3 linked regions of the Stegostoma tigrinum genome follow. The protein of the gene in region 2 binds, or shares a complex with, the protein of the main gene of each other region. Links are inferred from orthologs where the notes say so. Each region holds a gene or a part of one and is shown on either strand. Other genes may lie near its edges.

Region 1 (10,819 bases), on a different chromosome or scaffold from region 2:
AATAAAGGCAAACAGCAAAGTAGGACAGGGTGTTCTGGATCTGCTCTAGGTTACTCAGCTTTTAAATGGAATTTAACATACTCCATAATTCAAAAGATGCATCCATCGCATCAACAAAAACATTAACAGGTTTACTTCAAAATGAAAAAACCCACACCATTTGCAAAAATCCAGGCATTAAGAATTTCTCTGTCTACATGTTGCAGTTATGTGTGTTGAGACAATCCATGAAAATAGATTCGGACCATTTCTCAATCACTGTTGGAATGTAAGGATAGACATGATATATTTATTATTGAATACCTGATTAGTTCCTGTGGAGCATTTACTATCTAACCAATCTTAAAGAACATTCAATTTTGTAAACTAATTAGCTTGTTTTTAAAATGGCTGCATGGTATTTAACTATTTTTACAGCTTCACATATCTGGCTCTTTGTCATCATCAAAATAAGTCCCAACTCTAGATGGTACATCGAAACATTTTCATTTCAAAATAGTTCCTATAAACTGGAATATGAGCAGCATAATTGTTGAAAACGACTGTGCAAGTCACAACTTAGACTTCAAATGGCAATAAGTTTTGTCTTTATAATGAAGACACAGAAGTTACAAGAAAGTCCGCTAATTCTAACCTTATTAAAATTTTGATGTCACCCGTCACATGGCACCTGACAAAGGAGCAATACTCCTAAAGCATGCGATTTTAAATAAACCTGTTGAACTATAACTTGATGTTGTATGAGTTCTAACCTTGCTCACTCCGGCCGAACACCAGCACCTCCACATCATAAAATTTTAATGAATCGCTTTGACTAATTGTCATTAGATTGTCAATATTACACAGCAATCATAAACTGCAAATCTACGTTTGGATCATGTGCTTCTGTTTCAACTTCACTTTACCATTCTGTTTATACTATTTTAGGAATATTACATTAAATTTAAACAAGGCATTTCATATGGAAAAGACATTTGTCCACTGGGCAGTGTATGATTCACCAATACTACCACTGCACTATATTTTGGTTCCAGTCACAGTACAATATCACTTCTATCATGAATAAACGCAATTTTCGACAACTTTCATCTTTTATGCACCCCTAATCTCTCTCTGCAAAGAAAATAAAATATTACTACAGATTATTAATCATATTATCTTCACATTCCATGGCTGCAAATACGACTTGCAGATATACTGCAACTAGTTTCAGAGAAAACCAAAAATTAGTAGCACAAGGAAGAATGTGCCATTTGATTTATCAAATCCCACTACATTTTCGAATGCACATTTAAGTATTACTGCAGTTTCTACAGAATTTACTGTATCAAGCTCCTGAATCCTAATCATGTGATATGGACAAAACTTTCCACAGAAGAGGAGATAATTAAAGTGCCAACAAGTTTGTTTGAGTAATCTAGGGAGAGATTTGAGCATGCTTTCTGCCTGCTAGCGAAGGACCTACACTGAAGGCATATTTTCAGAAAGTTGTACGGATTGACTAAACAAATGATTTGAAATGGAGGAGGTTTTCAACGGAAGTGAAAATATTTTTCTCCTTAGTACAATTGCTAACAGTAGGCTACAGAATCAAATTGTTGAACGCTAAGAAAAATAACCTTAACAAAAAACAAAATAATTTTAACAAGTTTTTTTTTAATATAGTGTATTTTTAATAGATTCTAATCAACAACCTGAAACATATGGTGGAATTGACTAAGGGAAGCCTGACATCCACAGGCAGCACTTCTGTTGGATCGGTCTCCTGGAGTCTTGATGGAATCAAAGCCTTATTTGGGAATGGGAACACTGCTGCCAGGATGTTTAATTACTCTGCTCCCCCAGTAGGGAAGCCATTCCACCATCCCAGTAAACTCCCAACCAAGTAATAATGCATTTGGCCATTCAGCAAAATTTATCACTGCACTCATATTGAACCTTAAACAGACAGCCATTGCAAGGTGAATGGACTGCTAATTTGGGGGTAAGGCAATGGTTGTGGAGGAGGGGGCGATGGGCGAGGATGAGGTGTTTGTCAACTGTGGTTCAGTTCACTCATCCCTCTGATTTTCAAGATCACAATTCAGAAAGCAAGCACACAAAAATTACCAAGGTTGTCACTTAAGTGCAGTACTAAGGGGGCTATACTACTGGAGCTGCCATCTTTGGCATGAAATGCTAAACTTAGGCTCCATCCACCCCCTCAGGTAAAAGTACAAGGTCACACGACACTATTTCAACGAACAGCAGGCAAGTTATCCTTGACCAATATTGGTGCCCCAATCAGCATCATTAAAAAAATAACCTGCTCACTACCACATTGTTGTTTGTGGCAGCTGGCAGTGCATAAATTGGTTGCCATGAATCTTATTTTACAACAGTGACTAGACTTCAGAAAGTACTTAATTGCACTGTAAAGTGCATTGCAAGGTCAGGTGGTCAAGAAAATGTGAACCCTTTCTTATCTACTTAAAAAATTCAAAAGGAAAAACAATTAACTGATAACCGAAATTGTACATTCTAAGATTGTAAAACTAATTGCAGATGTAAATCAACAGCATAACAGTTATAATAAAATGTGTAATTGCATGGTAATCTACCTGAAAATCAGGAATGACGCATCCACTACGATGTTTCCATGCAGCTGCTTGTCTTACCTTCTGTATGAAGGTCGTAAGTTTGGGAGGTAACAAAAATGTAAGAAACAGGAACTAAAAATAGTCCATTTAGACACTAAAGAGATAATGGGAGCTGCAGATGCTGGAGAATCCAGGATAACAAAGTATGCAGCTGGATGAACACAGCAGGCCAATCAGCATCTCAGGAGCACAAAAGCTGACATTTCGGGCCCTCTGATGAAGGGTCTAGGCCTGAAATGTCAGCTTTTGTGCTCCTGAGATGCTGCTTGGCCTGCTGTGTTCATCCAGCTCCACACTTTGTTATCATTTAGACACAAAAGCCTGTCCTACTAAAGAACAAGATCATGGCTGTTCTGTCCCAGACTTTAACTCCTGTAAAAGGAAGAATCATTGGTGAGCTGCTGCAGAGAATCTTGTAGGTGTACACTGGCTTTTCAGCATAGAACAATGGCTGAAGCGCTTGTTCAGTTCACCAACATGTTGTGACAGTTGAACCCATCCAAGCAAGCAAAGTATTCTGTGATACCTCTGTCAGTAGTGGAGGTTGGAGGCTGGAGGCAGGAGGCATCAGGAAGCAAGCAAATAATATCCATGATGTGGAGGTGCCAGTGTTGGACTGGGTAGAACAAAGTCAGAAGTCACATGACACCAGGTTACAGTCCAACAGGTTTATTTGAAATCATAAGCCTTCAGAGTGTAGCCCCTTCATCAGGTGAGGTAAGAGAATAGCACACAGACACAGAATTTATGGGCATAGAGATCAAAAAAATTCACACAAATGATGTGATTGGGGTGACAAATAAGAAGTCTCTGCAGGTGATCAAATGTGTTAGATGTGTCAGTAAAATGTCAACAGCTGAACAGCAAGTAAAGGGATGACCTATAATCCAAGTAATTGACATAGAGAGAGATAATTGCAAAAAATGAAAACTAAAACGTGGTGCTGGAGACAAACCAACTGACTGAAATAACATGATAGATATAAGAATTGCATGCTGAGGGTCTATGCAAAGTAATACACAAGATCTGTTCAGATGAGGAGAAATGTGGTGGATACTTAAGTGTTTCAAAAGATGCCCTTATAATAGGCTACGATGCTCAACTCATCCATCGCCAGTTTTGACGTGCCACAGCAAAAAACCATAATGACCTCCTCAGCAGACAGACAGGACATGACTGATAAGAGTACCCTTCATTGTCCTGTACTTTCCCAGAGCAGGGAGGCTACACAAAGTTCTTCACAGCCTTCAACATGTCATCAATGACAACAAGCATCTCGCCAAGATCATCCCTACACCTCCACTTCTCACCTTCAAACAACTACCAAATCTTAAACAGACCATTGCTCGTAGCAAACCACCCAGCCTTCAGGACATCAACCACACCACCACACAAGCCTGCCACAGCAATCTCTGTATGACATGTCAGATCATTAACATGGATACTACCATCACTCATGGAACACCACCCACCATGCACATGGCAGATGTTCACGTGACTTGGCCAACTTGGTCATGTATCTCGTTCGCTGCAGGCAAGGATGACCCAAGGCAATCACCAGACAGGAACGTTCCCTCCCAGTTGGGAAGCACTTCAGCCGTCAAGGACATTCAGCTTCTGATCTTCAGTTAAGGTGTCCTCCAAGGCGACCTTCAAGATACACAACAATGCAGAACTGCCAAGTAGAAACTGATAGTCAACTTCCATACCCACAAAGGCAGCCTTAAACATGATCTTGGATTTATGTCACGCTATACTGGACCCCCAGCACTGACTGTATCTGTAACATCTTCCTGTTTTGACACCATCACCTGGATAAATTGTTATGGCCTCTCAATTAGTTTATACAGTTTTGGATGACTTATTACTTTGGTAAGACACTTGGTGTGCAGCTCTTATACCTGTTGTGTTATTCCAATGACTTGGTTTGTCACCAGCACCACTTTATTTTTAATTTTTTGTAATTATCTCTCTGCTTCATTTAATCGGATTATAGGTAATCCCTTTGCTTGTTATTCAGCTGCTGACACTTCACTCAAACAGTCTAACACTTGCAATTACCTGCAGAGACTTATTATTCAACACTCCACCCAACCATTTGTTTGATCTTTTGATCTTTCTGCTCATAAATTTTGCATTATGTATTTCTCTGTCACTTCACCTGTCGAAGTAGCTGCACTCCAAAAGCTTGTGATTTCAAATAAGCCTGTTGGACTTTAACCTGGTGTCGTGTGATTTCTGACAGAATATCCAGCTTCTGATTTCCAGTGGTCATTGTGCGGGTGGCTGGTCCAAGTCAGTTTCTAATTAAGAAGTTGATGCTGCTGGCTCAGTGATGGCAATACCACTGCATGTCAGTGTAGGTGCTGAAGTTCCTTCTTACTAGTGATTATAAAATTTTATAATCTTAACTGGTCAATAGCAATCAATCGTGCTCTTTTAATGAGCAGCTGAATGTCAAACCTCGAATACCCACAACCTTATGATGCTGATAGGAGAGCGATTAACGAGCCTGATTGCCATGACATTTAAAGAAAAAAAATCTCAATTTCATCTGGCTATAACAAATAACTGATTTATGGCATTAACCCAAACAGAATGCAAAGAACACTTTGTACTATTCTGTTAAAATGAACACAGTTTAAAATATGGTCTATAAACTTATACCAATGCTACACATAATACCAACTTGATACCTAATTTTCCCACACTTCCCTCAGTATGAAAAATGTTTTAGTAATTTTTGTTTTATGAGGCTCGAGAAGATGTATTAATCAGTAATACTTGCTTCAAATGTGCATTTCTTTTCTCTTTTCTCTCGCTACCTGCTCCCACACACAGCTGGGTTAAAAATGTAGAGAATGTTTTGAAAGTTCATTATAAGATCATGACAAATTCTTGGGAGAATTTTATAATCTTAACTGACTTGTAATTGGAGCATTGCTGAAACTTTTTATCTTTGTTTCCTCTTAATGAGATGAAGGCCCTATATCAAAACGTCAGCACTGATGCAGAAACGCATGCCACAATTTAACTCCTTAGAGTGGAGGAAGTCAACATATAAAGTCACCGTCCTCCTTCATCTCTCACTTTTGAATGTAACACAGAAACAATAAGCATTCTCCCCTCATCTGTGCTTCAATGGGCAGAACCTAAGAAATAACTCATACTTTCAGAGATTGATTTCAGAGAATTCAGCAAAACAAAAGGTATTTTTAATGAACATTGTGTTATTGCCATGGAAGGCAAAATGCTTCCATCAGTTCTTCATCAGAAAGCCTCCAAACAGTTGTCCAAACAACCAACACAAGCAATGGATATCAAGTACAAAGGCATAATTGTGAAGGAGACACAGCTGAATTGCTTCTACACTTGTCCTGGAGGTAGGATTTTCTCATGTCTTTGCCCATGTAAACGATAACAGTTTAAAACAATATTTTAGAAAAAAGTTGTTTTAATAACTGCACTTTAGATTTGGATCCAAAATTAGAAGATGATGTCTTAATTGCATTTCTCTCCCATCAAATGTGATCAAATTTATATTACCAACCTTTACAAATACCTAAATACTGATATTTCCCGGTCTTAATTTATCAATAACAGACAGATATCACAATTGTAATAATTTTGCAAATATAAACATAAAAGTAATGTTTAAAATTAAAAGAATAAACGTGCAAAAAACTATATTTGCCAAAATACTATGAAATTTATAGTAACCTTGGCAGTTTGTGTTTTTCCTCAGTTACTGAAATGCTGTAAACATACCAAATTCATCTCTAATTTCCTGATAAAAAAACAAGTCTTTGAATACCTGATACATTATTGCAAAGCAACATAAAAATTTGTTTAGCAAACTACGATTTAACAGAAGTTTCTGGAAAACCTCAGGAGATCGGGCAGCATCTCTGAAGAAGAATAATCAGAGTTAATGTTTCGGGTCTGGTGACCCTTCCTCAGAACTGTTTTTGTTCTTGATTTACAGCCATCTGCAGTTCTTTCAGTTTTTATTTGCTATTCAACAGGGGTCACAATTTTTTATGATGCAAGCAAAACATTAATTTCATAATGCACTATAACAGAAATTCATCAGGTTATTTAAATTGCACTTCTAAAATTCTTCACAGTCTTTGTTTAATATATGGGGCAGCACAGTGGCTCAGTGGTTAGCACTGCAGCCTCACAGTGCCAGGGACCCAGGTTCAAATCCAACCTTGGGCGACCATCTGCACAGAGTTTGCACATTCTGCCCGTGTCTGTGTGGGTTTCCTCTGGGTGCTCCGGTTTCCTCCCACAGTCCTAACATGTACAGGTGAGGTGGATTGGCCATGCCAATCCACCTAGCCTGTACAGCGGTGTGTGCGTTTTTGGGGGATGGGTCTGGGTGGGATGCTCCAAGGGTTGGTGTGGACTTGTTGGGCCAAACGGCCTGTTTCCACGCTGTAAGAATTCTATGCCATGTAGATAAAATTTGTTTAAGAAATGAATCATTTGCAACTATATATAGTGGCTTCATTTTATGCATGCATTATTTTAAAGTAATTTAGAATGATAACAAAAATTTAATCAGTACAATTAAAACATTACGTGTCAGCACCAAAACCTCAGTGTTGCAAAGTAACCTACAGCGAATTAATTACCTTTGAAATGTAGTCACTATAATGCAAGAAATATGAAGCTATTCAGCAAAGGATTCCATGATTAGATTATCTTATTTAAACTTACTTCAAAAGCCTAAACACAATGACAGAGACACAAGAACTTTGAAACTCTAATTCAAATAGAACTATGAGAACTTGTTTGCAAATACACAGAGTTGGGGCCTCAATATACAGTCACATCAAAAGACTGCACACACAACACCTCCTCAATACTGCATTGAGCTGCTAATTTGAATGCTCAAATCTCTATATAGGACTTGAGCCACAATCTTTGACTCCGAAGCAAGGGAGCTACCACTAAGCCACAACCTTAAATTCTCATGAAGTTACAAAAATTGAAGACCGTTATACAGATTTCTTCAATATACCTGTTCGCTAGGTAGGGAACAATATCGATTGAATCGATTTATCACCTTTGTCTGTTCTCCGTCCCCATCTGAAGAAAACCATTTCTGTCACTAAAATCCAGTTCTAACAGCTGTGACCACCCTCTAGAACCTTGCGCCCACCATCCTGACTTTAACTAGATGGCTACTAATCAAAAAATAAACACTAGCAGCATGTGGCAATATTCCGACAGCAGAAAATGACAGTTCAGTTCACCCCGATCTTCATCCCATCTGAAAAACAAGTACTGTAATCACAGTCTCTATTAAGTTCCATCAGCCACTTGTCTGCTTGTTCTGGCCTTCAATGAAGAAGTAAATGCTATATTTGCACAATAAATGTTCCACGTGAGCATTGTGCAGGAATCAAATTCACCTATGCAAACTGTCCTCACTAATATTCATTATTATGGATGCCATTCACATTAGCTGGTGCTCACATCTTATTCTATATGGTTCAAAGAACACAAATGGACCTGGTTTAAAAAAGATCAGTTTCCTCAATAATAAAAATGCAAATTCGGCACTCTGTGAAATTTCAACTAGTACTTCTTCTCAGTATGGGTTCAGTTACAAAAGTAAATTAAATGAGCAATGTCTGGCCATCAGCAGAGTTTTGTTTAATTATTGGCTTCTTTATTACCTTGCAAATGCTAATTCCACAACTACTACTGTTGTAACTACCATCTCCACCATTGACCTTTGAATTGGGTAAGCTGGACATCTGTACCGTGACAATTAGCAACCTCATATTTAACAGCAACCAGGTTAGCTCAGTTGTTAGAACATCAGATTTTGTTGGTTTTTTGGGCTCAAAAAATTGTTCAATTGGCTTAAAACACAATAAATAAAAAAAATGATGTTGCAAGGAACTTCTGGTGCAGTGGTAGCGCCCTACGTTCAAGTTAGGAAATCCCAGTTCAAGTCCAATGTGCCAGGGAATAGATCGCAACATGCCCAAATAAGTTGATTATCCAAACATCAGATCCATAGCATTGATTCAGTTATTCTGATGACCAAAAAGTCATTGGGGCAGAACCAGGTGGAACTGCATGCCTGGAATTATGTTCCAGGTGCAACTGCCTTTGGAGAAAATACCATGGACACCTCCAAGATGATAGGAACCATAGGCATCTCAGTCAGATGTAGTTACAATACAGTAAGCTACCTCACCTTCAGATGAAAAATAGCAGCATCTTGTAGAAGAGGGCATGAATACAAAGCACCTTTCCATTATTTGCAATTTATGGGTAACCCTAGGTAATGTTTTCTCAATTTGTGGCCACTCCATTACCGTGTAGTAGTGATAATAATTGATGACAACTGTGGTGACACATAATAAAACCTGATGTCAAAAAGTGAAATGTAGGTCAAAAGGGGAAAAGTCTAAGGGGCCTGCGCTCACTGCAATTCCACAATCTAAGGGAAGTAACACGTCTTGACTGCATAAAGCCTACCCACCATGAACAAACTCACATCAGGAGCATTATGAAAGATTCTCCATATGCCTGAATGAGTGTAGTTCTAAAACAGAAGACGTTCAAAATCATCCAAGGAGGATGAAACTTGCTTAATTGTGCATCACCTTCAAAACATGTACTCTGCGCTCCTACAGTGCAAACCGTTTACCAGATTCCCTGCAGAAATTTCTCAAGGCTCCTTCAATAACACCTTCCTAATGCACAATATTTACCACCTAGTCAGGCAAGAGCAGCAGATGCATGGAAAATCCCAGCAACAAATTCTCCTCCAAGCCACACACCACTCTGACTTGGAAACACATCCCCATTCCTTCACAGTCAGCAAGTCAAAATATTCAAACTCCTTTCCTCAACACAGTGTAGGCATAACACTGCTTATGTACTCTATTTGGACTTCACCACCACCTTCCAAAGGAGATTAGGAATGCAGAACAAATAATAGCACTGTCAGCAATGTTCACATCCAAAACATTTAGAACTATTTCTAATTCAGATGCATCTAATTCTTAGCCTTTGTCTTAGTACACAGCGTATTTTTTTAAAAATGCATTTTCAGCATGCTTTGGAAGATCCTTCAATCATGAAAAGCATGATACAGCCAATTTACTATCTTTTGAAAACATAGACACTGCTGTAATGTGAGAAATAAGTGGCTCCACTAAAGCAATCAAATGACAACCACTTGAGGAAGGACAAAATGATACAACGAACATGCCAAAATATGGAGATAGAAATACATTTCTGACTGCATGATCACTATGAATTATTTAGATACTGCTCAGATACCAGCACCCACTGCTTCGTCGAGAACAGGACTTATCCATTGAACAGGAAGAAGTCCAGAGTCTATTCTCAACTTCTAAGACATGACTGATACTATCCAGAAGAAAAATGAGCGAAGATAGAGATTTTTTTTAAAAGAAAGATTCATTTTCACATTGTAGGAAGTTAAGCATGCTCAGTCTAAAAATTTGAATGCCTCTCAGGTTCATGCCTCCCTGTTCTGTGGAACCTTAGAGTTGGCCCTAAATATTGTCACAGCTTTAAAAATTCAAGACTGTAAATAACATTAAGAAAACCCTGAGTCTTCCAATTATCATTAATTTGCGAGTAGTTCTATTTTAAACTCTCTATGTGGCGCATTTTTGCAACAATACCTACTATAGAAATGTCGGGAATAAAAGGAAAAATGTAACATACAAAAAATTCAACCTTATGGTACCTACAATTCACAAAGCACAAACAGGACATTTTACTTCAATGTAACCTTTTTCTTTGGCAACTTGATTTACTGCAATGATTGTAGCAATAGGAGGGAAATCTCTTAAATTTAAAATTGATTTAACATGTATTACACAGGTTACTTAAATTAATTGAAAAAAAATTAAAATCAACTTTTAAACTCTGAATTACTAAAATAGTCTTGACGTAGAGGTTCTTTTCATTCAACGAGTTCAATCCAATTAAATCAACTACCCTGAAACGAGATTATACTGTGGGCTTTACCTTACTGCATTTCGATCAAGTAGCAGTTCCATTGGGTTTCATGGAGGGTTTCTCTCCACGAGGCTCAGGGAGATTTCTCATGTTGTTGTCCAAAATCCATCTCATTAGCTCCTAAGAGGTTCCTATGGTGCTCCTCTCATCTGATG
Region 2 (11,374 bases):
TACCTTCAGGGAAGAAATCCTTCCTCATCTCAGTCTTCATATGGGTGACCCCTTACTGAGATTATGCCCTCCAATTCTGAACTCTGCCACAAGGTGAAACAATCTTACACATCCACCTTAACAAACCCTGTAGAAATCTAATGAGTTTCAAGAAGGGCACTTCTCATTTTTCTAAACTCCAATGAGTACACACCCAACTGATTCAAACTCTCCTCATAAGAAAGCCCTTTTTTACCTGGGCTCAATCTGGTAAACCTTCTGTAGACTGCCAGAGTGTGCCATTCCTCAAATAAAAGGACCAAAACTTTTCACAGTATAGGAGGTGTGATCTGACTATTGCCTTGTATAGTTTTATGAAAATTGCAATATTTTAATATTCCATTCGCTATGTAATAAAGGACCACATTCCAGTTGCCATCCCTATCTCAGAGAATCTCAGATGATACTGGTGGATTTAATCACAACCTATAACACATTGAACCAAGTAACTAGGTTGTTGAATTTTCGACTAGATTTATGATTCAGCTTGGCAATTGACAACGAAAAACAATCTTAAAATGATGTAATTGTAAGCAAGGGAACTGGAATCATTTGGACAGAAAGCAATAAACTGGATAATATGAATTCAGGCTCAATTTAATTCGACAATGAGTAATAAAATTTGAACAGTCTTGTTTTAATGTTTTTGTATGGTTTTAGTAATAGGTAATACCAAAAATAATCCTTTATTGCATTCTCCACAGAAAACCCCACTAGTTTCAAAATCAGGTCATGTTTCTTTTTAAGGAACAAAAACAAAGTTGCTGGAAAAGCTCAGCAGGTCTGGCAGCATCTGTGAAGAAAAAATCAGAGTTAACGTTTCAAGTCCGGTGACCCTTCCCTCAGAACTCAACAACTTCTTTTGTAAAGTTACTTGCTGTAATAGTTTTATCAGTGTGCTCATCAAAATAAAAGTTAATTTTACGAAAATTCTGTAAGTTGTCGAGTGAAGAATATTATTGTGTAATTTTCACAGTTGTCGCATGAGGAGGAAATTTAGGTAAACCTTTCCCCGTTAGCATTTCATCAATACAATGCCTGTAAAAACATTATCAGACACTGTAGCTAAAATATTAGCATAATTTAATGTATTTTCACACTCAACTGCACTAGCTGCTGTCTTCAGACGTATCAAATTAATAACAACTGAACAGAAGGACATTGATAGCTGGTTTCTGAGCTACAGTTGACAACAATTGAAATCATAATTGAAATTACAATTCGTTCGAGTGTTTTTAGGTTTAAGTTGCAAGATGTCAGTTTCTTAAAACATTCAAAGTCTTGCAATTTCATTGTTTTTTACTGAAGAGTTTTTTTCCAAGCTTAGTGTTCCTGTTCTTTGACAGTGACAAACACACTCACATGGTGTGATAACATAATCCACCAGAGGAAGTAGGTTTTTTTTATAAGTCGCTAATGGTATTTCACACCATGTCTTCAATTGCTGATGAGTTTATTTCAGAAACCAGGCACCAAGAGATTTGTTGGCACCATTTTGCCTTCAAACAAGTATGTAAAAGGGATGGGAAAATGGGAAGAATGTTAGATATTGATAGCAAATTAATATATCTAGATTAGGCATACTAAGCAACAAGCAATTGCTTGATATGGCAACACAATTCTACATCACAACAGCCTCTATTAATAACATCATCCATTCAAGAATGCATTTATTGTGAATCAAAAGCATAAAACAGTCCAACATGAACAGCGCTGACTTGATTAGCCTGGATATGAGGGTCTCCTTGACAGCCTTTAGCCACAGCTCAGTCCAACATTAACACACTGAAGAAAATGAAATAAGTAAAATTCCGATTGATTTGTTTCATGTTATGCTCTGTCACATATTCTGTCACACTCCTGCAGATATATCTTTAGTCACCATTTCACACTATTGTCTGTCTTCTAAGTCCGATATGTTTTGCAGTGTTAGCTGGCTGCTACTTATAACATTTTAATTCTCAGCCAGCTGGTATTCACCGTGCCTGTTTGACACCTTTCCAACACTCAAAGACCAACAGGTCGACATTTTATATTTATATGAGATTAAAACAAATGCAATGTTTTATTTTTGGGGAATATTGGAAAAATGCTTCCCTTTCACCATATTAATGTCTCCTATGACTGAAAGAATGCTACAATAAATAATTATTAATGGACACAGCCATCTTTAAAGAATTTACTCCCATATGCTTTGTAAGATTCATTTTATTTAGACAACACCTTTACAATTTTCAAATTTAAGAGTAACATCTTAGAGCCTTTTTATTCATTTGGGGGATGTGGGCATCGCTGGCTAGCCAGCATTTTTTGCCCATTCCCAGTTGCCCTTGAGAAAGTGATGATGAATTGCCTTCTTGATACTGCCTTTCCAATGATGTAAAGCTTTTAAAAAATATTAACACTGAAGCAGATCTAAAGCCAATGGTCATAGCTTGCACCTGTGTTTAAATACAAATTGACAGATTTGGCCTTTTTTAAGGGTTCACTAAATGTAGTAATATGAGTATATTACAATACGTAAGAGGGGTGTTTCAGATTTAGAGCTGAACTAGGAGTTCAGGCCCAAAGTGCATCAATATCATGAATGTAGGTGATTTCAGTCTACAGTAGGCCAGGAAAGATTTTTTCTGAAAAATCAAGGCATTAAATATTATTATTATTATTCAATCTGTCATCCTGTTTTTGTTCCAAAAAAAGTAAAATCTTAGAGAAAGTAAAGATTGAGGTGTATACTTTATCACTATATTTCACAGTCATTGTTGTGATCTACCCAATGAAATCAGCAAAGGCTGATTTGTTACGGGCACAGAACACAATGACTCCTATTGTTTAGGTCTTAAAGTTACATTGTTATCTTTGGAATTATGATTATTGGTATTACGTTTTTCATCAAAAAGCAATTAAAACATATAAGATCTGGATCTTACCTGTCTCACATAGCTGTTAGAGGTGGTATCTGAGGAGGTGCTCCCGTCGGATCCTTTAAATCTGTTTTTCCTAATTGCACCTTTTCCAGACATCTGAGAGAAATAATAATGCAATATCATCACCTTCAGGAAGTCAGTCTTAATTCTCAGTCTAACTAGTGAAATCAAAAGGAATAAAATTCAATGGGCCAAATGGCCTTCTTCTGAGTCATTCAACAAATTAAAAACGATATTTCTGAGAATTAGCCACAAAATTTAAACCCACAGGTGTGCTCAAAACGAAAAACAAACTCAAATCAGAAAAAAATTGCCATTTTGCAAAGTGATGAAAATGGTGCAATATTGCAGCTAATTTACTGAAGAAAACATTAAAATTGCATATTCCAACAATTTAACTTGAAGGAACATGGTAATTTATTTCTTTCACAAATAATGCATTCAGGGCTGAGTGACTTACACATGTCTGTAACAATAAGAATTAGCCATTACATAAAATTCATAGGCTGACCAAAGAAAAGCTACTAGTTTGAACAGGTATACAATGTCGCATTCTCTTTTACAAATACACTCCATGTAAAATCTGCTTAAAATAGTGTTTTGAAATCACTGATTACTTTGTTGAATCCACAAACTGATGCTCTGGAGGGATTTAAAGTCTAAAATCATACAGTGCACTGGTTTATAATCTAGATACAGGTACACTGTTAATTATTTCTGTCAATAATGGGGTAAACTCCCGGAACTATTGGGGGAAAAATATTTTATGAGCCTGAGGGACTGCCATCCTGAAAGATCCTCCAATAAAGTGTTCTTTCACTTGACTGGGGAGGTTCAAAAGCATTAGTGAGAAGCCATTGTTGTCAAAAAATATGTCAACACAAATTTATGGTTAAATAAAAGTCAAATGCTTTTCTAAGGATGTCAATGCATTCTATTTAAAAATTACTTCAATGTTTAGATGATGCATTATTTTTGAGAGAATATTGGATGTTAAAATCAATGTTCCTTTGTTTACATGTAAATGAATGTAATGTTAACCAGGAAGACACCACAGCCAAACTCCTTGTATTTAAAATATCCTATTATAAATTCTTCGCATAAGCAATTTGACCAATAATAATTCATGCCTTAAAAATGTAAATATAAAGTTTTATCGTTAAGTAGAAACCGAGAAATAACAGGATGACCTTAATTTGGATTTTATCTACGAAGTTAAATTACAAATTTAACAGTGGAGTGGAAGAAGTTAGATCAATGTATCCTAAAGAGCTCAGCGAGTCGATCTCGAGCTCTTGTATCCGACCAGGTAGCCGGTGGTAAGGCAGTTAAAAAAAAAACTTTCTAATGCGATCTTAAAGTTCGCTTCAGTTTACCTGCTTGTTAACTGAGTACGTTTTTCAGTGTGAAGATCCCCGGCTGCAAGAGATTGGCAGATTTCCACTGGATTTTTACGAATCAATACACTTTAAACACACCCCAGGACATTCGTAAGAAGCAGGTACAATTTGTTACTTTGCCAGAAGAGAAACAGCCAGATATTAGCAGCTGAATGGGCGAGCAGTTAACGGCAGTCTGCAAACTACTGCGTTCATTCAACAAGTCTTACGAGATGTAGGTGTATCGATACATACCTATGTACACACACAGGTACATATTTACACACACATAGACGTGCAGAGATTGGCACGAGCGCACACACACACACACACACACAATGGCACACCGGTGTAAAACTACAATAGAAACTTGGGAGAATAAAATGTCTTGCTATCAAGCTACGAGTTACCTGCATGCTGGGGTTTTCCAGTATACCCATCCGAATCTCCTGCGCTTTGGACATGTCGCTGTGAACCATCTGACAGACTGGGATCTTTCTCAGTGAGGAGAACGCTCGCTATGGACTGATCCCCTCCAGCGGAGAGAAAACGGACATTTCACTTCCCGGTAGCTGGTGAAATCACTGAATAACTGGCATCGCCCCCAAAGCCCGGGAGGGAGGGAGGGAGGAAGGAGAACCCACCCTGAAAATTCCCTGCTCCATCCACAAGGGGGTGGGAGCAGCACTTGGCTCCTCGCCTTTAGTTGCGGTTTGCTGTTTTCTTCCCTCTCTCAATCTGAGACTGTTGCACCTCGCATCGCGGAGGAAACAAGTGCCACACGCTTTTCTTAAAAAAAGGAAAGCAGATGTGCTTTGGTTTTACAAGACATGTAAGGTTCAGGCAATCCCCGCCCTCCTGGCTGCGGGGAGGAAGGAGAGAGGGAGGGGCTTTATTGCCGACTTCTTTGGGATGCCAAATGCGCCCATCACTAAATGCTCTTTTCATCACAATAATACAACCCATCGCCTTTCCGGATTCGGAAGGAAGAGGTTAATACATTTCAGCAACTTCCAGATCTGACAATCACTCGCGTTGTTCAAGCTGCATACCCTCAACCTTTGGGCCATACATACATGTGCTTGTGGATATTGCAGTCTGTCGCCACTGGAGCTCACTATGTAACCAGCTATTAGAACGGTGTAATACCCTTGAGTGAAATGCACCACTCGAGCTGGGGGAATCGGCTCCCAATACATTTGGCCGAGGTCGGGGTGGTGGTGTTGGTTGACGTTAAGTTCATGGAGAGAACCGGATACGTTTGCTGTCTCCAAATCTTTTAACTTCCACATTCAACATGTGTGAAAGTGACAATGCACCCCACCCATGTGTGAAAGTCAGGCTGTCACCTGAAATGTTACCCACAAACAGCCATATTAGAGTGTGAGAGGAAGCCTACAGTGTAATTAACTATGGGCCCACAGCTTCCAGGACCCCAATGGTGAAAGCAAAGGCTTTCAAAGGGAGCAGTCGAGGGAATTTGAAGAAATATCAAGCAAACAAAAACGGCAATAAGAACTGACACTTATCAGCTCCATCCTTAACTAAATGAGAGGTTTTCATTCTCACTGCCTGTGTCCAGAGTGTGCTATCACTGAAGTTGTGAAATAGACTCAAAATGTGAACTGTTTTTCTCTCTCCACAGATGCTGCTGATTTTCTCCAGTATTTTCTGTTTTTATTTCAGATTTACAGCATTCTCAGTATTTGTACACAGTTTGTGTACTTTCACTAATTTGTGAGTGATTTCCAATATGGTGTCATTTCTACTGCATTGAAGGAGGCTTTCTGTCTGTCATTGATTATATCAGCATTAGTGCTGTTCACATACTTTACCTTGAACTTTACACGAGGAGCAGCAACTGCCTTCTTCTGGCAAATCTGCACAGCAGTTGTAGCTCACACGAGTGTTAATTACATCAGAGGTTTTATAGATTCATGGCTGAACAGCAGGATCTCAAGAGGCTCATGGTATGTGCTGCGATCTACTGGTAGAAAACGTGCTTCCCACTGGATTCAGTGAGCATCTTTGCCAGTGGCTGCTGCTAAAGTGACAATTGCCCTTAACTTCCAATCATTCCAGGAGTCTACAGGATATATATGCAAACTACAAATATAAATATAAACTGTAAATTGCAACTGGATGAATAGTATCAGAGATAATGGGAACTGCAGATGCTGGAGATTCCAAGATAATAAAATGTGAGGCTGGATGAACACAGCAGGCCAAGCAGCATCTCAGGAGCACAAAAGCTGACGTTTCGGGCCTAGACCCTTCATCAGAGAGGGGGATGGGGGGAGGGAACTGGAATAAATAGGGAGAGAGGGGGAGGACGTTTCGGGCCTGGACCCTTCATCAGAGAGGGGGATGGGGGGAGGGAACTGGAATAAATAGGGAGAGAGGGGGATGAATAGTGACAGCTTAACCAGGTGACACTGTAGTTACTTTGCAATCAATACGCGCATTCAGAATGAGGAAGCACTCCTTGGATTCTGATTGTCTTTCACCTGTGCAGCATTTATGTGGGTATCAAGGCACTTCCTTGGGTGTTCATGAGCATGAAGGAATTTTTACTCCGTCAATGTACTGCAGTGTGTATGTGGGAGACCATGAAAAGATCAGCTCAAAGTTGTGTGAAAGATTCCCAGGGAGCTGCTGTGACTTATTCATTCTGCTGTAATCTACTGCACTTTAGCATGTTGGCCTCAGAATAGATTTACAGCCTGGCTCCTTGGAGACAAAGGCTGTTATCTTAAAATGTGACAAATGACACCCATGAGGAGCTCAAGCAATGATGTCCAACAGTGCAGCATCATATGGTTATAATTGTAGCAATGTGCAATGGAGACAACAAACGGGATGCAGAAGATGCATTTCTGATGTTGAATGAATCAGAAGGTGCCTTTTGATATGCTCCAGCCAGGGTGTTAAATGTGTTTGTGTTGGGCTGTGCTTGACACAATGTACATCTACAGTGAGGTTTAAATGCAGGAGAGGAGGTTTCTCTGCAAAGGAAGAGAAGGAGGAACAGGAGGATTGGGAGCCTGGCACCAGTAGTGAAACATTTTGAGGTGCAGGATACCTCAGTGGCATAGTTAGATTATACCATTGCACCATCTGGCAACCACATGCCGAACATGCATGCCCTTCCCACCAATCCAACCCTCCCACCTCCCCAAACATAAAATGACCCTGCAATTAACAACTCATCACTGTGCGATGTATCATTGCTTGGCTTTATGTCTTGCCTTTTCACTCCCACATGAGAGGCAACTTACTAGGCAACTGGCGAGAATAGCAAGACCAGCAAGGTGAGCAAGCATCAAGTTTTACCTGGCTCAAAATCTAAGCAGAACCTTAACAACATAACATTTTTGTGAATGTACTCTCCCATTTATTTTTCCAATCCTCCATGATGTGGTCAGGTAGTTTCAGGCTGTTCAGATCCATGCTCTAACTGCTGAGATTTTCTTTTGACTTTCTCTAAGCTTTGGAGCTGTGGGAGCTGGTGAGAAACTGCACTCTGTGCACTTGTACAGGGCTGGTTTCAGTCATCAGGATGAGGTTCCACGTGAAGCTGTGACTGAGGGAAGAAGGGGTACTATAGATGAGAAGCTGGAGCAGTTTGATCAAAGTACCCTCCATCACATTCCCTTGCTTCATCTTCACTGTCATTTCTCACTTGCTAGCAATAATCAGAACAGCACTTTTCAACAATATTAGTGAGATAGTGAACATGAAGGTCTAAGGCAAGATTCTAACCAATCCTACTGAGGGTGGCATCCTGAGTGTAGCGAGTATTTGTAAGAGCCAGCATGGACAAAGTGAATACTGGCCTTAATATCGTGCCATTCACAACTGCTGGACAGCCAATGAAATACTTTTTAACGTATTGATTTAATGTGGAAGGCAGCAGCCAATCTGAACACAGCACATACTTTTTTTTGTGTTATGCCCTTGGCTCACTAGGTATTGAGGCAGTTTGCAGATATTTATAATCAATCTGTTCAGACTCATCTCTGGAGCAGGTGGCTCAACAGTAGGGAATGCTACCACTGCAGTATATACGCCCCTCCCTAAAAACTCATTGTGGTCATAGTGACACTGCTGAAGGGATGGGGCTTCACACAGAGAAATCAGCAACACTCAAAGCAGGGCTCAAACCTGAGATTAAGAGTCTCATGTTCTACTAACTGAGCTAGTCAGACCAGCACACAGCAATCTCCCACAAGAAGCAACACAACAAAGGTCTATTTTAGTGACATTAATTGAGAGATAATATTGGCCAGGATACTTAGATCACTCATTTGGTCTTCTTCAACCATGAAATCTTTTAGACCGTTGACACTGCTGGCAGAACTTTCATTTAATGCCTCAATCAAACAACACCTCTGACAGAGATAATGGGAGCTGCAGATGCTGGAGATTCCAAGATAATAAAATGTGAGGCTGGATGAACACAGCAGGCCAAGCAGCATCTCAGGAGCACAAAAGCTGACGTTTCGGGCCTAGACCCACCCTCTCTGATGAAGGGTCTAGGCCCGAAACGTCAGCTTTTGTGCTCCTGAGATGCTGCTTGGCCTGCTGTGTTCATCCAGCCTCACACTTTAACACCTCTGACAGTGCTGCACTCTCTCAGTATTCACTACTCAGTAGGGGAGGAGAAGGATGAGGGTAGGGAGACCTGACAGTGACATCTTGCAGGGCAATCTGAAATGCACACAGGAAATGTCAGTTTAGAAGTAGCCTTTGTGCTCAGGCCAAACCCCTGTCCAGAATTTGCTACATTGCAGGCAGATTGATGTCCTTAACTTTTACTAAAAGGAAAGTTGAGGGTATCAACAGAATTAACGATGGCAGTCTGGTCCTTTCCCTACTCATTATATTGGATAAATGGCTCTGGGAATAGTTGGGAAGGAAATGGGCTCAATATCTGATGTATTTTACATTCCCCCCATCTTCCTCTGTGCAGTGTTCACACTCCTCCTGTAATGCATCCTGTGAGACATTTGATGGGCCTGTGGAAGATTAAAGATGTGAATTAGAACTGTCGATGTTTGAACATCTGAAGTGATCATTTGTTTGGTTTGTTATTTCTTGTTGGTTGATGACAAATGACACTAAAATTTCAGCATACAAACAGAGCAAATGTGAATTTTACCCTCATATGAAAAGTGTAGTCTTCCATTTTGTGCAACAAAAAAGCAAGATCCCAGTTAAAAGGGAGTTGAATAAATTAATGAGACAACAGGTGAGTTATTAGGGATTGATCATGCAGTCATCATGATCTCCTTGAGCTTTCCTGGGACCCTTTAAGAGCTCAGAGTCAAGTTAACCTTGCTTCCTAAATTTATTACATCTCCCACAACTGCCTGCACATGGATGTGTATAGGTAATGAGATGAAGGCATCTATAGAAATGGGGTAAATAGTATATGTAAGTTATGTATGACTAGGATGGGATGTGTTTGATGTACTGATTAGTCATCTCCTGTCTTTTTTCTTGTATTTAGTTATAATAGATTTACAAATAAATAGAAACTGTAATAGTTGTAATGATAGCTGTTGTTAGCAGTATACAACAAAGCTGGTGAAATTGAAATCAAAATAGAAATATTCATTTCAAAATAGAAAGATTGCATTTTCAGCAATTATCTGCATAAATGCATAGAAGATTTGCATGGCTATATGTCAACTGATTGCTAATGTAGAAAAATATAAAGATTGAGCTTGAATTGCTTAATGAGACCATAAAAAATAGGACAAGGAGCTCTCAGCCATCGAGCCTATCAAGCTTGCTCCACCATTCAATGCAATCATAGCTGATCCGACCTTCCTCATTTCCAATTTCCTAGCCTTGTCACCGATGACCAAAAATCTATTTGCCTCAGCCTTAAGCATACAGAAGGTCTCTGTCCCCACATGTCTCTGTAGCAAGGAGTTCCGAAGACTCACGACCCTCTGAGATCATAAATTCCTCCACATCTCAGTTTTATACTCTTAGACTATATCTGAGGGGAAATGTGTTCTCAGCAATTACCCTGTCAAACACATTAGGAATTTTACATGTTTCAATGAGGTTACCTCTCATTCTTTTAAATTCCAGTGACTAGACATCCAACTTGATTAGACTTTGCCCATAAGATGCCCCCTCAAAACCAGGGCTCTTCCGAAATACTGTTCTCTGGACTGGCTGCAATGAAACAATATATTTCCTTAAATAAGGAAACCAAAACTGCTCTCAGTTCTCCAGACATGGTCATCTTGTACAGTTGCAATAAGACTTACCTACTGTTGCAGCGAGTTGAAAGGATCTGTTTAAAATTCTGAATGTAATTCTAAAGCATTGAACTAGCCTAAGTGTGCATTCAAGAATTGGATTTTTTCATGATCTCTTGATTTACCTCAACAACATCTTGCTTATTTTTGATTATATTCTGAATCTTGGTTGGTGTACGTTTCAGGGCATTTTCCTTTTTTTTACCACGAAGAATTTTATTGAACTAGTTTCGTCAAATGTTGCATTTTCAAACAAAATGCGCTATTTCGGAATTTAAGAAAACACTAGATGATTAATAAAATAAACAAAGTTGTTTTCCCCAGAGGCGAAGAATAAATGTTTTTCTAACTTGGCCTCACTGATATATGCCACAATTTTCAAACATGGGTAATGTTGTATCAGCTGTACATTATACATCCCCCGACATCCCTTAACATGGAAATGAACATTGATCAACTGTGACTTACATAGCAGATGGTTGATCCATTATTATGTTTTTCACCCCAATGCCTGCTGCAGTTGTAAGTTTTGCCTATTCAATTGGAAATATCTCATGTTAGGAACATAGAACGGTACAGCACAGGAACAAGCCCCTCACCCCACCATGTGTGTGTCGATCATGATGCCATCTAATCTAATCCCATCTGCCTGCACATGATCCTTATTCATCTATTCCCAGCCTGTTCATATATCTTTCTAAATCCCTCTCAAGCTTTGTAACTTACCCGCTTCTGCCACCTCCTCTGGCAG
Region 3 (11,138 bases), on a different chromosome or scaffold from region 2:
CCTGAATAAATTTCCCGATGAAAGATTGAGCAGGTTGGGTGTGTGTTAAGTTTTGAAAAATGAGAAGTCATATCAGAATTTGACAGGGATTGATAGAAAAGAAGTGACTATGTTTCCCACATGGGGAAATGCAGATTAAACGTAAGGGCTGTCCCTTTTAATATGGAAGCGAGGAAGATTCTCCACTCAGAAGGTTGGTAGTTTTTGGAATTCCAAATCCCAGACAGCAATTGGATCCTGTGAATTCAGTCAAGGCTGAGTAAATAGGTTTTTGATCAAGAAGGTATTAGGTTTCTGAGGTCATCCAAGATAGTGGAGTTGAGGACACAGATTGGCCATGATTTTAGTGAATGGCAAACTGGCCTAGATGGGCCAAATAGCCTACTCCTCCTATTACTTATAATTTTTACGCAGTATTTTTCCCAACCACAGGATGTTCCCAAAGTTCTTTACAGCCAATGAAATGCTTTTGAGTGTGTAGACACTGTTGTAAATTGACAACAAAATTAGAATGTGTGAATGTGTGAATTCAAAAATAGTTATAGAAAAGATGTATAACTTCAGATCCATGGACTTACTTCCACTGCGTGCAAATTGATGGGACCAATTCATTGGAGAAAATCTGAGTAGAGGTTTTACAACCCAGTCAAGATCAGTCAATGTGGTTGATCCCACATAACAATCATTTTGGACCAAGTAACAACCAAACTCAACTCTCAGGTTTTCCATAGTTTGGTTTCCAAAGGTAACTGGAATTAAAAAGGTGACTTAAAACCCAAAGATTCCAAATTAATTTTGGGAATAGATAAGGAATTGGCTAAAATATAGAGCGCAATCACAGCCAAGGCCTGGGGCCATCTCAAAGTATTAACAGCCAATTATATGCTATTAAACTAAAGTCATTGTTGGAATGTAAGAAACATGAGAGCCTATTCTTGCAGAGCAAGCTCCCAAAAATGTAATAAAGAGTGGATACCTATCTCCCATGATTGGGGGTGAAAGATGAATTCTGGCCAAGACCCTGGAGAGAAGTCGCATTCCCTCGTTTGAGATACTGCCCTCTCGGGTGGACTCCATAGCTGTATTTCAGTTTTAAATAATTTTTTAAAAATATTTTATCAACAAGGTGTCAGCTCTGAAGGTGCAGCACCTGCTCAGTCCTACATGTACTGTGAAATCTCTGGTGTGGAATGTGAACTCAAAGCCATCAGACCGAGGAACAAACAGGCTACCTCTAAAACCTGGCAGACAAATGGACCAAGCTATTTGAGAAATTGGTGAGTCCTTACCTTCAGAAGCTTGGTATAAATTAGTCAAATTTGCAGCTGATAAACTACAAGGTCCATTCAAATCAAAGCAGGGTTAGTCCAGGATTACAGAAAGATTTAAACAGCATGATTGACGGAAATATGATAGTAAGCAAATGCACCTTCACTCCAAATGTTGCTATTGATCTAACCATAGATGTGAGACTTGGGGTACAACACGCCCAAGTCACAATTATTTGGGGCTCTTGTGGTAGTATCTCTATCTCTGAACCAGGAGGAAGAGTCACCAGATCCAAAATGTTAATTCTGGTTTCTCTCCACAGACACTGCCAGAACTGCTGAGCTTTTTCAGCAATTTCTGTTTTTGCTTCTGAGCCAGGCAGCCCAGTTCAAATCCAAGCTGTTCCAGAGGTGTGTGATAACACACAGTCATGGAGTCACAGAGATGTACAACACAGAAACAGGACCCTTCAGCCTGACTCATCTATGCCCACCAGATATCCTAAACAAATCTGGTCCCATTTTCCAGCATTTGGCCCATATCCCTCTGAACCCTTCCCATCCAGATGGCTTTTAAATGTTGTAATTGTGCCAGCCTGTACCACTTCCTTTGGCAGCTCATTGCATACACGCATCACCCTCTGCGTGGAAAAAGTTACCCCTCAGGTCCCTTTTAAATCTTTCCCCTCTCATCTTCAACCCACACCTCTCTAGTTTTGGATTCCCCTGCCCTGGGGAAAAGACTTTGACTCTTCACCCTATCCATGCCCCTCATCATTTCTCTGAAAGGGGGCTTGGTTACGGTGGCTCAGTGATTGGCACTGCAGCCTCACAGCGCCGGGGACCCGGGCGACTGTCTGTGTGGAGTTTGCACATTCTCCCCGTGTCTGCGTGGGTGTCCTCCCACAGTCCAAAGATGTGCAGGCTATTTGGATTGGCCATGCTAAATTGCCTGTAGTATACAGGGATGTGTAAATTAGGTGGGTTAAAGGGGGCTGGATCTGCTGGGATGCTCCAAGGGTCAACTTGGACTTGTTGGGCCGAAGGGCCTGTTTCCACACTGAAGGCGTTCTATGAGCCTATGAAATACCGACGACACGGTCCAACCAAGCGAAGAGCAGAAAGCGACATGTCTGTTAAACTCTTAATGAACTGTATATTCCGGGCTGCTACCAGGAAGTTATTATGCTGCACAGGATTTCAGATGAAGCTGTAGAGACAGAGACCTTGAAGTAATAATTACATATTGTCACTGACATGGTGCTGACTGGAAGCTTGCTTCACCCCTAAATACCTGGTGAATTATCAGAGAGCCGATGATGCTGAAGGATATGCTTGATAAACCCAGAGACAAGATGCTTGTGTTAAAGTGAGCGAGAGGCTGGAATTCTGTTGATGGTATATTTAACTCCGGGACCGCTCGGATACCTTTACACTCCAGCACCTGTTCCAGGCGTGTTTGCAGTGAGCGGCAGCTTAGTCTAAAATTCTTTTTTAAGGGGTTAGTGCAGCCGGAGGGATCTGCCTGGCTACTCTCACCATCACGTTGATTACAGGGTCTAAACATTCCCGCCGATGCTGAAGATTTTCTGTTTTAAAAAGCCACGGGCAATGTTCTCAGCCGAACTCGAGCTTGTGTCCAATACTCAACTCTCGCCCCGTTCCCAGGCTGCTCGCTGGCATACAGCGTTCCCGGCTCCCTGCACTCTTGGAGGCAACAAAGTGTGGGGCTGGATGAACACAGCAGGCCAAGCAGCGTCAGAGGAGCTCAAAAGCTGACGGTTTCGGGCCTAGACCCTTCATCAGAGAGGGAGATGGGGAGAGGGAACTGGAATAAATAGGGAGAGAGGGGGAGGCGGGTCGAGTAGAGGAGAAGATAGGTGGAGAGGGGAGTATTGGTGGGGAGGTCGGGAGGGGATAGGTCGGAAGCTCTGAAAAGAACTCAGCCTTTGTTTTTTAATTGTACCATTCAATGGACGGAGAGGAGCTGGCCTGGACATGAACCTGCTGGGTCCCGTCTCTATTGGGCCTGCTCCGTTGCAGATTGGTGAAGATTGAGTCCGTTGCTAATACACTATGAAGGCACATGGGAGTTGATACAGAGACAAACACAGATAACATGGAGCAGGAGATAACATAGATCAATACAGGCCCTTAGTGCTGACCTATTATCCTACTCTAAGATCAAACTATCCTGCATTTATTTCACTGTCACCCATGTAATAGTGTAGAACTGGAGCTGAAGAAGCAGGGTCCCGACCCGAAACGCCAACTTTCCTGCTCCTCTGATGCTGCCTGGCCTGCTGTGTTCCTTCAGCTCCACACCTTGTTATCTCAGACTCCAGCAGCGGCAGTTCTTAATGTCTCTACGTGGAGCGGGAGTCGGACCCTCGAGCCTGCTCTGCCATTCATTAAGATCATGACTTATAAGGAGAGGCTGGATAGGCTGGGACTATTTCTCAGTAGCAGGCTGGGAGTTGACCTTATAGAGGCTTATAAAATCATGAGGGGGCATGAATAAGGTCAGTAATCAACGTCTTTCTACTGAGAGTAGGAGGCTCCAAAACTAGGGGTTTACTGTGAAAGTGGAAAGATTTCAAAGGGACCTGATGGGCAACTTTTTCACGCAGAGGGCGGTGCATGTACGGAACGAGCCGCCAGAGGAGGTGTTAGAGGCTGGTATAATTACATTTTTTTAAAAAAAATCGAACAGTGACGTGAATAGGAGAAGGTTTAGAGCGATATGGGCCCAAAGCATGAAAATGGAACTAGTTCAGTTCAGGAAGACCTGGTCAGTATGCACAGGTTGGGCCGAAGGGCCTGTTTCTGTGTTGTATGACTCTGTGACTGATCATCAGTCTGCTCCTGCTTTCTGCACATATCATTTGACCGCTTCAGCTCCAATTGCTATAGCCAATTCCTTCTTAAAATCGTACGATGTTTTGGCCAGTTTTCTGTGACAGTGAATCGATAGGCTTACCACTCTCTCTGGGTGAAGATCTTTTTATCTTTTTATCTAACCAGGATCCTTAGACTGTGAGGCCTGGATCTGGACTTCCCTGTCCTGGGGAATACTTACTCACTATGAATTCCCTCCCTAATGGCATTGTGGGTTTACAGCACATAGACTACAATGGTTCAAGAAGACAACATTCTAAAGGAACAACTAGGAACGGGCAAATAAATGTGGCACTGATGTCCCAGGAGTGAATTAAAAGCGGCATAAAGGACAGTGTATACCCACCTATTACCGTTCACACAACCAGGGGCTGTAGTGACACTGTATGAAGACATACACAATAAGAATCCCTTTATGTTGTAATTTCTGCTCAACTCAAGTGCTGGCCAACTGACCGCGGTAAATTTGGAGAGAAGTTCAGAATGAATTCTTTTCAGACAGAGAGGTAGCTGCAGCCCGCTGAGTTCCTGCCTCAGACCTGGAGTGTGCCTGAGGACAGCTCTCTCTCTTACCTCCTGGCAGGTCGGCATTCCCACAGCCCTTCCCGTCCGGGTCCACACTCCGGACAAAGACCCTCTTCGTGCACAGTTTCCAGAGGCCGAAGTGAGCCTCCTCGCAAGTGGAGTTGGTTCTCTCCAGCCGGGGGCTGAGCCCTGCCCAGTGGTCGGTGCTGACCGCCACAATCGCCAGGATGATACCCACCGCGATCACACAGAAGGTGAGTTTTATCTTGCTTGCTTTACCCTCCTCCATAGTGCTGCGGAAGAGCAGGAAGGTGCTGGTGCTCTCAGCACCTGCACTGACTGACCGCTCCCCGAACCCCCGGGGCTGGTTTCGGGGAGGTTGGGGGGGGGGGGTGGGCGTCTGGTGGCTGGCCAATGCACTCTAGACTGGCCTTGGCACTGCCCAGTTGCTGCTCTCTGTATATGGGAGCCTCAGGTTGACAGAGACCGACGCGTGAGCCATTCTACCCCGGGGGGGGATGTAATTCCATTCCGGGACGATTGTAACCTTCAGGAATGGCGGGGTTGGGGTGGGAGGTTAGTATATGGGATGCTTGCTGAGGGTTTGTCGGGAGCCTCCTCTGCGCCCCTCGTGTGACACGCCTCCCCACCCCCTCACACGCACACTGGCCCCCAAACTTGTGAGTGAATTGGCCCGGCGTTGAATAGCTTTCTATTAGGAGCTGTTCCCGGCCGGGCGCTGCCGTGTGTATATTTATATCACAGTTCCACATTCAAGGAACTGTCAGATTTGAAGGCGACCGCTGGTCTGGGAGTCAGGTGGCCGAGGTCTCCACGGAGAGGAACAAGAATCGCAGTGCTATCTGGGGGAGAGGAGATCTCTGCCCAGTCTCCTCGTCATTCAGTCTGGGACAGTTTCAGGCAGGTCCCACTCTGAATGTCGGACCCACACTCGCCTTATTGTGGAGCTTTCCTCGCCAGCTTGTTGAGGGACGTTGAGACACACCTGTGGACCTGGTGGGACTTGAACCCGGGTTCCTCTAGCTCAGAACTAGGGTCACTACCATGCACCAAAGGAGCCCACACCACCCCGCTCTCCCCCCACCCCACCCGACCCGCTTTATTCTACACTGGGCCAAGCAGCATCTTAGGAGCAGGAAAGCTGACGTTTCGGGCCTAGACACTTCTTCAGAAATGGGGGAGGGAAGGGGGTTCTGAAATAAATAGGGAGAGAGGGGGAGGCGGATAGAAGATGGATAGACGAGAAGATAGGTGGAAAGGAGGGTATAGGTGGGGAGGTAGGGAGGGGATAGGTCAGAAGCTCTGAAAAGAACTCAGCGATAACATGGATCAGGGGATTACATAGAACAGTACAGCACAGTTCAGGCCCTTAGGAGGAGACAGACAAGTTAAAGAGGCGGGGTTGGACCCAGTAGAGGTGAGTGTTGGTGGGGAGGTAGGCAAGAGATAGGTTGCAGTGGGAGAGAGATCCTCTGAGGTTTGTCCGGAGGGAGGAGGGTAACGTCTTCAGGTTAGGCATCCTGAGAAGAGGCTTCGCAGTGAAGTTAAAATGGTATCGGAGATAGTAGGAACTGCAGATGCTGGAGAATCCGAGATAACAGCTCCGTGTGGAGCTGGATGTACACAGCAGGCCAAGCAGCAACTTCCAGCTCTACACCTTGTTATCTAGGATTCTCCAGCAATCTGCAGTTCCTGTTATCTTTTACTCTACACCGCGTCTCCCTACAGTCAGCACCGAGCTGTGTCAACTGCTGACCAGCCCAGCCAGAAAGGGGGGAAGGTGGTTAGGGCTTGTAAGAGTGCCAAGCTGTGAGACTGTTGCCAGCGGGTACCCCGGAGGGGACAGGGTATAGGGAGTGCTGGGGCTTTCATTCATTCAGAGGCTGTGGGCCCCGAGAGGACATGATCCGGGAATAAGCGCAACCCTGAGCTGGGCAGGAGTTTCAGACTCGGTCCCTGGAGGGCCGAGGAGTGGCGCTGGTTTTTTGGCCAAGTCTCATTCTCATTGTCTGTCTCCCCCCCCCCCCCCCCCCCCCCTCCATCCCGCAAACCCCAATGGACCTGCGGTCTCTTCCCAGAGGAGGCTGCAATTAAAAAGGGGAACAGCGTGCACTCCTGGTTCCACAGACTCCCCAGTGCTGACAGAATCCAAACAAAACCTTCCAGTGTAAGGGAGTAAGTGATGAGCTTGCGGGTCATGAACATAGAACAGTAACAGCACAGGCCCTTCGGCCCATGATGATGTGCCGACCTATTATCCTACTCTAAGATAAAATTACTCCGCAACAACCCTACATTTTACTATCCTCCTTGTGCCTATCCAAGAGTCGCTTAAATCTATCTGACCATGTTAAGCTAACTTTGCTCTTGGCCTGTCACTCAAACCCTGCTGCGAGGAAATGCACTGTGATGGACTTTGCTCCCACCCCTGATGGTTTGGCTAATGTGTGTTCCTTGTGTTGTCGTCCCACTCGAGCAACTACCAGACTATCAGTGAACCTTCACACTGCGCCAACTCTCACACGCACCGATTCTCAGCATCACCATCATGCGTTAAGTAACACTGGAAACTCTAGGAATTTTCCGAGAAAGCTCTTTCGAGATTCCTTCCTTAGCATCAAAATCAGAAATGAGTGGGGGCAAGATAAAAACTCGGCAAATCAGGCAGTATCCTGTGGAGAGGGGAAATAAAAGAGTTTTCGTCCTAGTGACCCTTCTTCAGAAAAGTTCTGATGCTGCCTGACCTGCTGAGTTTTTCCAGCAATTTCTGATTTCCAGCATCCGCAGTTCTTTGGGATTCCCGGCCACCCCCACCCCCATTTCTGTCTTATTATCCAGCTCCGTGACGCCCACTCTTGGCCTGAGGCAGTCAATTGGTATCTTGTGTTAGGGCACAGCTAATGTCTTCCTCAGCGCTTTCCCGTTCATTATAAGGGGGGTGGGGTGGTCTGGGGTCGGGGAAATGTGATGTTGTAGGCATCAGCTAGCAGACTGGTACCAGTCAGCTCTCCCTGGCTTGGGTCGAGAAGAGAGCGAGCCGGTTGGAACTTGCCGAGCTTCCGCCCCAGGCCCCGGGTTACCGGGTTCTCTCGCCTGCTGTGGACATGATCATCACCCCTGCTTGAGACTGTCCTTCAGTGACAATTTGACGAATCCCTTGAGGGGAGGAAATCTGCCTTCTTTACCCGGTCTGGCCTACATGTGACTCCAGACCCACGGAAATGTGGCTGACTCTTACTGCCCTCTGAAATGGCTGAGCCAGCCATTCAGTTCAAGGGTAATGGGCAGGAGGAGACCGGGGGGGGGGGGGGGGGGCATAAATGCTGGCCTTGCCAGTGATGCCCACATTAACTGAAAGAATAAAATATTTTGAAAGTTCACTGGAGTGCTTCTGTTGGTCTGCCTCTATAACATCATCTTCTTGTGTGTATTTTAAGGTATTTTCTTTTTGATTGCGAAGGAACCAGTGTTGAGCTGGAGTGGACAGGGTCAGAAGTCACACAACATCAGGTCATAGAGCAACAGGAAGCACGTCACTTGACGAAGGAGCAGCACTACGTAAGCTTGTGTTTTCACATTAGCCTGTCGGAGTATAACCTGGTGTCGTGTGACCTTTGACATAACGAGGTGTAGAGCTGGATGAACACAGCAGGCCAAGCAGCATCAGAGGAGCAGGAAAGCTGACGTTTCGGGACTAGACCATTCTTCAGAAAAGGTCAGGTCGTGTGACCTCTGATTTTTTTTTTAAGTTCGTCCAATTGTCCTGTCGTTGTACGACTAAAGGGACGTGAGATGGAGCTTCAAGTAGTTCCACCTGACTGTCTCCAACTCTGATCCCAGTCAAACGCAGACTCAATGATTTTTCAATGAACAGACACTTCCTTTCTCCTCAGCAGCGGAGACTCCCGTTCATCCAGAGATTGCTTTATTATCACAAACACTTGACAGTAACCCAATCCACGTACAAAGCTGAACGCGCTACTTCGGAGCATTTCTCTCCAGCCACTATTTCCACAGTCACTTAATTCTACATCAGTTTTAGTAGGGCTCCCCACGGACTACACGCAGTATCTAATCATTCACAGTTTTACAGGGACACGTGTGACAATCTAATGGGAGAAATCACAAGAAACACAAACCAATGGAGACACTGAGGGTCTGCTCTTCCCATCCCCAGCACTGAGTGGATGCGGAAGAGATTCCAGACTCTGGGAATAGACAGTATTCAGATGTCAGTTCACCGCCGCCTCCTCACACGCACTGACTCAAAGCGGGGGCACGGGGGTAGGGTAGGGTGGTATCTCTCGGGGAAGCGGGCGGGGTGAGGAGAGGAGAAGTTGCCTACTGTGGCCAATAACATCACCGCCCCCCTCCCTCCCACTCTCACGGCCCCCTCATCCCCCGGGAGGTCGGAAACACCACCCCAGTGTTGGGGGCGCTGGGGGGTTTGGGGGTTGTGAGAACCGAAGCCAGGAAATGCAACGCAACATGAAAGCCCGGGTGGGGGGTGGGGGGGCGCTGTGGCAATGGGGGCACGGACACCGAAGGGGAACCCGGAATCTGTGGCCCCGGGCTCGGGTGAACACTCAGGAGATGCTGCGAGTCTATTAAATGTTACAAAATGTTCACCGGCTGGGACTGTGTGGGCACATCAGGCTTTCGGGGTGGGGGGGGGGGGGGGGGGAAGGAATTGGGCGATGTTCCCAAAGCCTTTCCTTTCCCTCTTCTATGTTTCCTTCCCTCAGCCCTCTCACCCTCCCGCCCTGTCCTGGGTGACCTCCCTCACCCCGCCTCCACCTTTACCTGGTCGCAGTTCCTCTCTCGGTCTAACACTTGCTGCTTGTCCAAGCAGGCGCCACAGCAATGAAAACAAAACCCCGCCGGTGGGGGGAGATGGGGGGTGTCCTATGATTAGGTCATTCCCTTTGGAACAGGGATAGAGGGGTGGAGGAATGTTGACGGCAGGCGGTTGGAGGTGAGGGGGGTGTGGAGGGGGAGGCTACAGGATCTGGAGAGGGTGGAAGAGACGGTAGAGGGTGAGGGGCTGGGGTGGAAGGGAAGGGAATGGAAGCTGTGGGAGTATGGCGGGGGTGGGTGGAGAGGGATTGGAATCTGGAGGGGGGGGCTGCTGGAAGGTGGAGAATGCTGTTGGGGCTGGGGTCTCCGGTGAGGGGTGAGGAGGTGGGAGATGGGCCAGTGAGGTAGGGGAGGGGATGGAAGCTGGGAAAGTGAGGGAGGGGGAAAGGGAGGCGGTGGGAGATGGGGGTTGTGAGGGCAGGCAGTGTGGGAGCTGGGAACATGGGTAGGGGAATGGTGTGGATGCTGGGGGAGTGGGGATAAGGCGGTGGGAGCTGGAGGTTGGGGAGACAGTGGAAGCTGGGGGAGTGGGGGGACGAGTAAAGGGAGTCGGTGTGGGAGCTGGGGAGTGGGGGTGGAGAAGGTTGTGGGAGCTGGAGACGTGGGGAGACGGTGGGATCTTGGGGGATTGGGGTGGAAAAAGCTGAGGGAGCTGGGGTGGGCTGGGAGACAGTGGGAACTGAGGGATGGGGGTGGAGAAGGCTGTAGGAGCTGGGGGTGGAAAAGGCTTTGGGAGCTGGGGGCTTGGGGGTAGAAATAGCTGTGGGAGCTGGGGGGCTTGAGGGGTGGTGAGACGGTGGGAAATGGGGGGTGGGAGTGGAGAAGGCTGTGGGAGCTGGGGGCCATGGGGAGATGGTGGGAACTGGGGGTTGGGGTGGACAAGGCAGTAGGAGCTGGGGGTGGAAAAGGCTTTGGGAGCTGGGGGCTTGGGGGTAGAAATAGCTGTGGGAGCTGGGGGGGCGTGAGGGTGGAAAGGGCTGTGGGAGCTGAGGGGTGGGGAGACGGTGGGAATGAGGTGGGGGTTGGGAATGGAGAAAGCTGTAGGAGCTGGGGGTGGAAACGGCTGTGGGAGCTGGGGCGTGAGGGTGGAGAAGGCTGTGGGGGTTGGGGTGTGGGGAGATGGTGGGAACTGGGGGAGTGGGGGTGGTGAAGGCTGTGGGGGTTGGGGTGTGGGGAGACGGTGGGATCTGGGGGAGTGGGGGTGGAGAAGGCTGTGGGGGCTGGGGTGTGGGGAGACGGTGGGAACTGGGGGAGTGGGGGTGGAGAAGGCTGTGGGGGTTGGCATGTGGGGAGACGGTGGGACCTGGGGGAGTGGGGGTGGAGAAGGCTGTGGGGGTTGGGGTGTGGGGAGACGGTGGGATCTGGGGGAGTGAGGGTGGAGAAGGCTGTGGGGGCTGGGGTGTGGGGAGACGGTGGGAACTGGGGGAGTGGGGGTGGAGAAGGCTGTGGGGGTTGGCGTGTGGGGAGATGGTGGGACCTGGGGGAGTGGGGGTGGAGAAGGCTGTGGGGGTTGGGGTGTGGGGAGACGGTGGGATCTGGGGGAGTGGGGGTGGAGAAGGCTGTGGGGGT

What was found.
Region 1: voltage-dependent L-type calcium channel subunit beta-2-like (region 2) and voltage-dependent L-type calcium channel subunit alpha-1C-like share a complex: the UniProt entries of both Homo sapiens proteins name them as parts of the calcium channel complex. The link is inferred for Stegostoma tigrinum from reciprocal best matches to the Homo sapiens genes CACNB2 and CACNA1C.
Region 3: voltage-dependent L-type calcium channel subunit beta-2-like (region 2) and voltage-dependent calcium channel gamma-1 subunit-like share a complex: the UniProt entries of both Homo sapiens proteins name them as parts of the calcium channel complex. The link is inferred for Stegostoma tigrinum from reciprocal best matches to the Homo sapiens genes CACNB2 and CACNG1.

The regions. Positions count from the first base shown.
Region 1 is NC_081371.1:22,335,371-22,346,189, forward strand, and holds the start of voltage-dependent L-type calcium channel subunit alpha-1C-like, read left to right. Parts: upstream 1-5,749; 5' UTR 5,750-5,877; coding exon 5,878-6,022; intron 6,023-10,819. UniProt on the Homo sapiens protein: Pore-forming, alpha-1C subunit of the voltage-gated calcium channel that gives rise to L-type calcium currents. Mediates influx of calcium ions into the cytoplasm, and thereby triggers calcium release from the sarcoplasm.
Region 2 is NC_081355.1:115,622,900-115,634,273, reverse strand, and holds the start of voltage-dependent L-type calcium channel subunit beta-2-like, read right to left. Parts: upstream 4,971-11,374; 5' UTR 4,825-4,970; coding exon 4,756-4,824; intron 3,063-4,755; coding exon 2,970-3,062; intron 1-2,969. UniProt on the Homo sapiens protein: Beta subunit of voltage-dependent calcium channels which contributes to the function of the calcium channel by increasing peak calcium current. Plays a role in shifting voltage dependencies of activation and inactivation of the channel.
Region 3 is NC_081375.1:9,583,388-9,594,525, reverse strand, and holds the start of voltage-dependent calcium channel gamma-1 subunit-like, read right to left. Parts: upstream 5,071-11,138; 5' UTR 4,981-5,070; coding exon 4,740-4,980; intron 1-4,739. UniProt on the Homo sapiens protein: Regulatory subunit of the voltage-gated calcium channel that gives rise to L-type calcium currents in skeletal muscle. Regulates channel inactivation kinetics.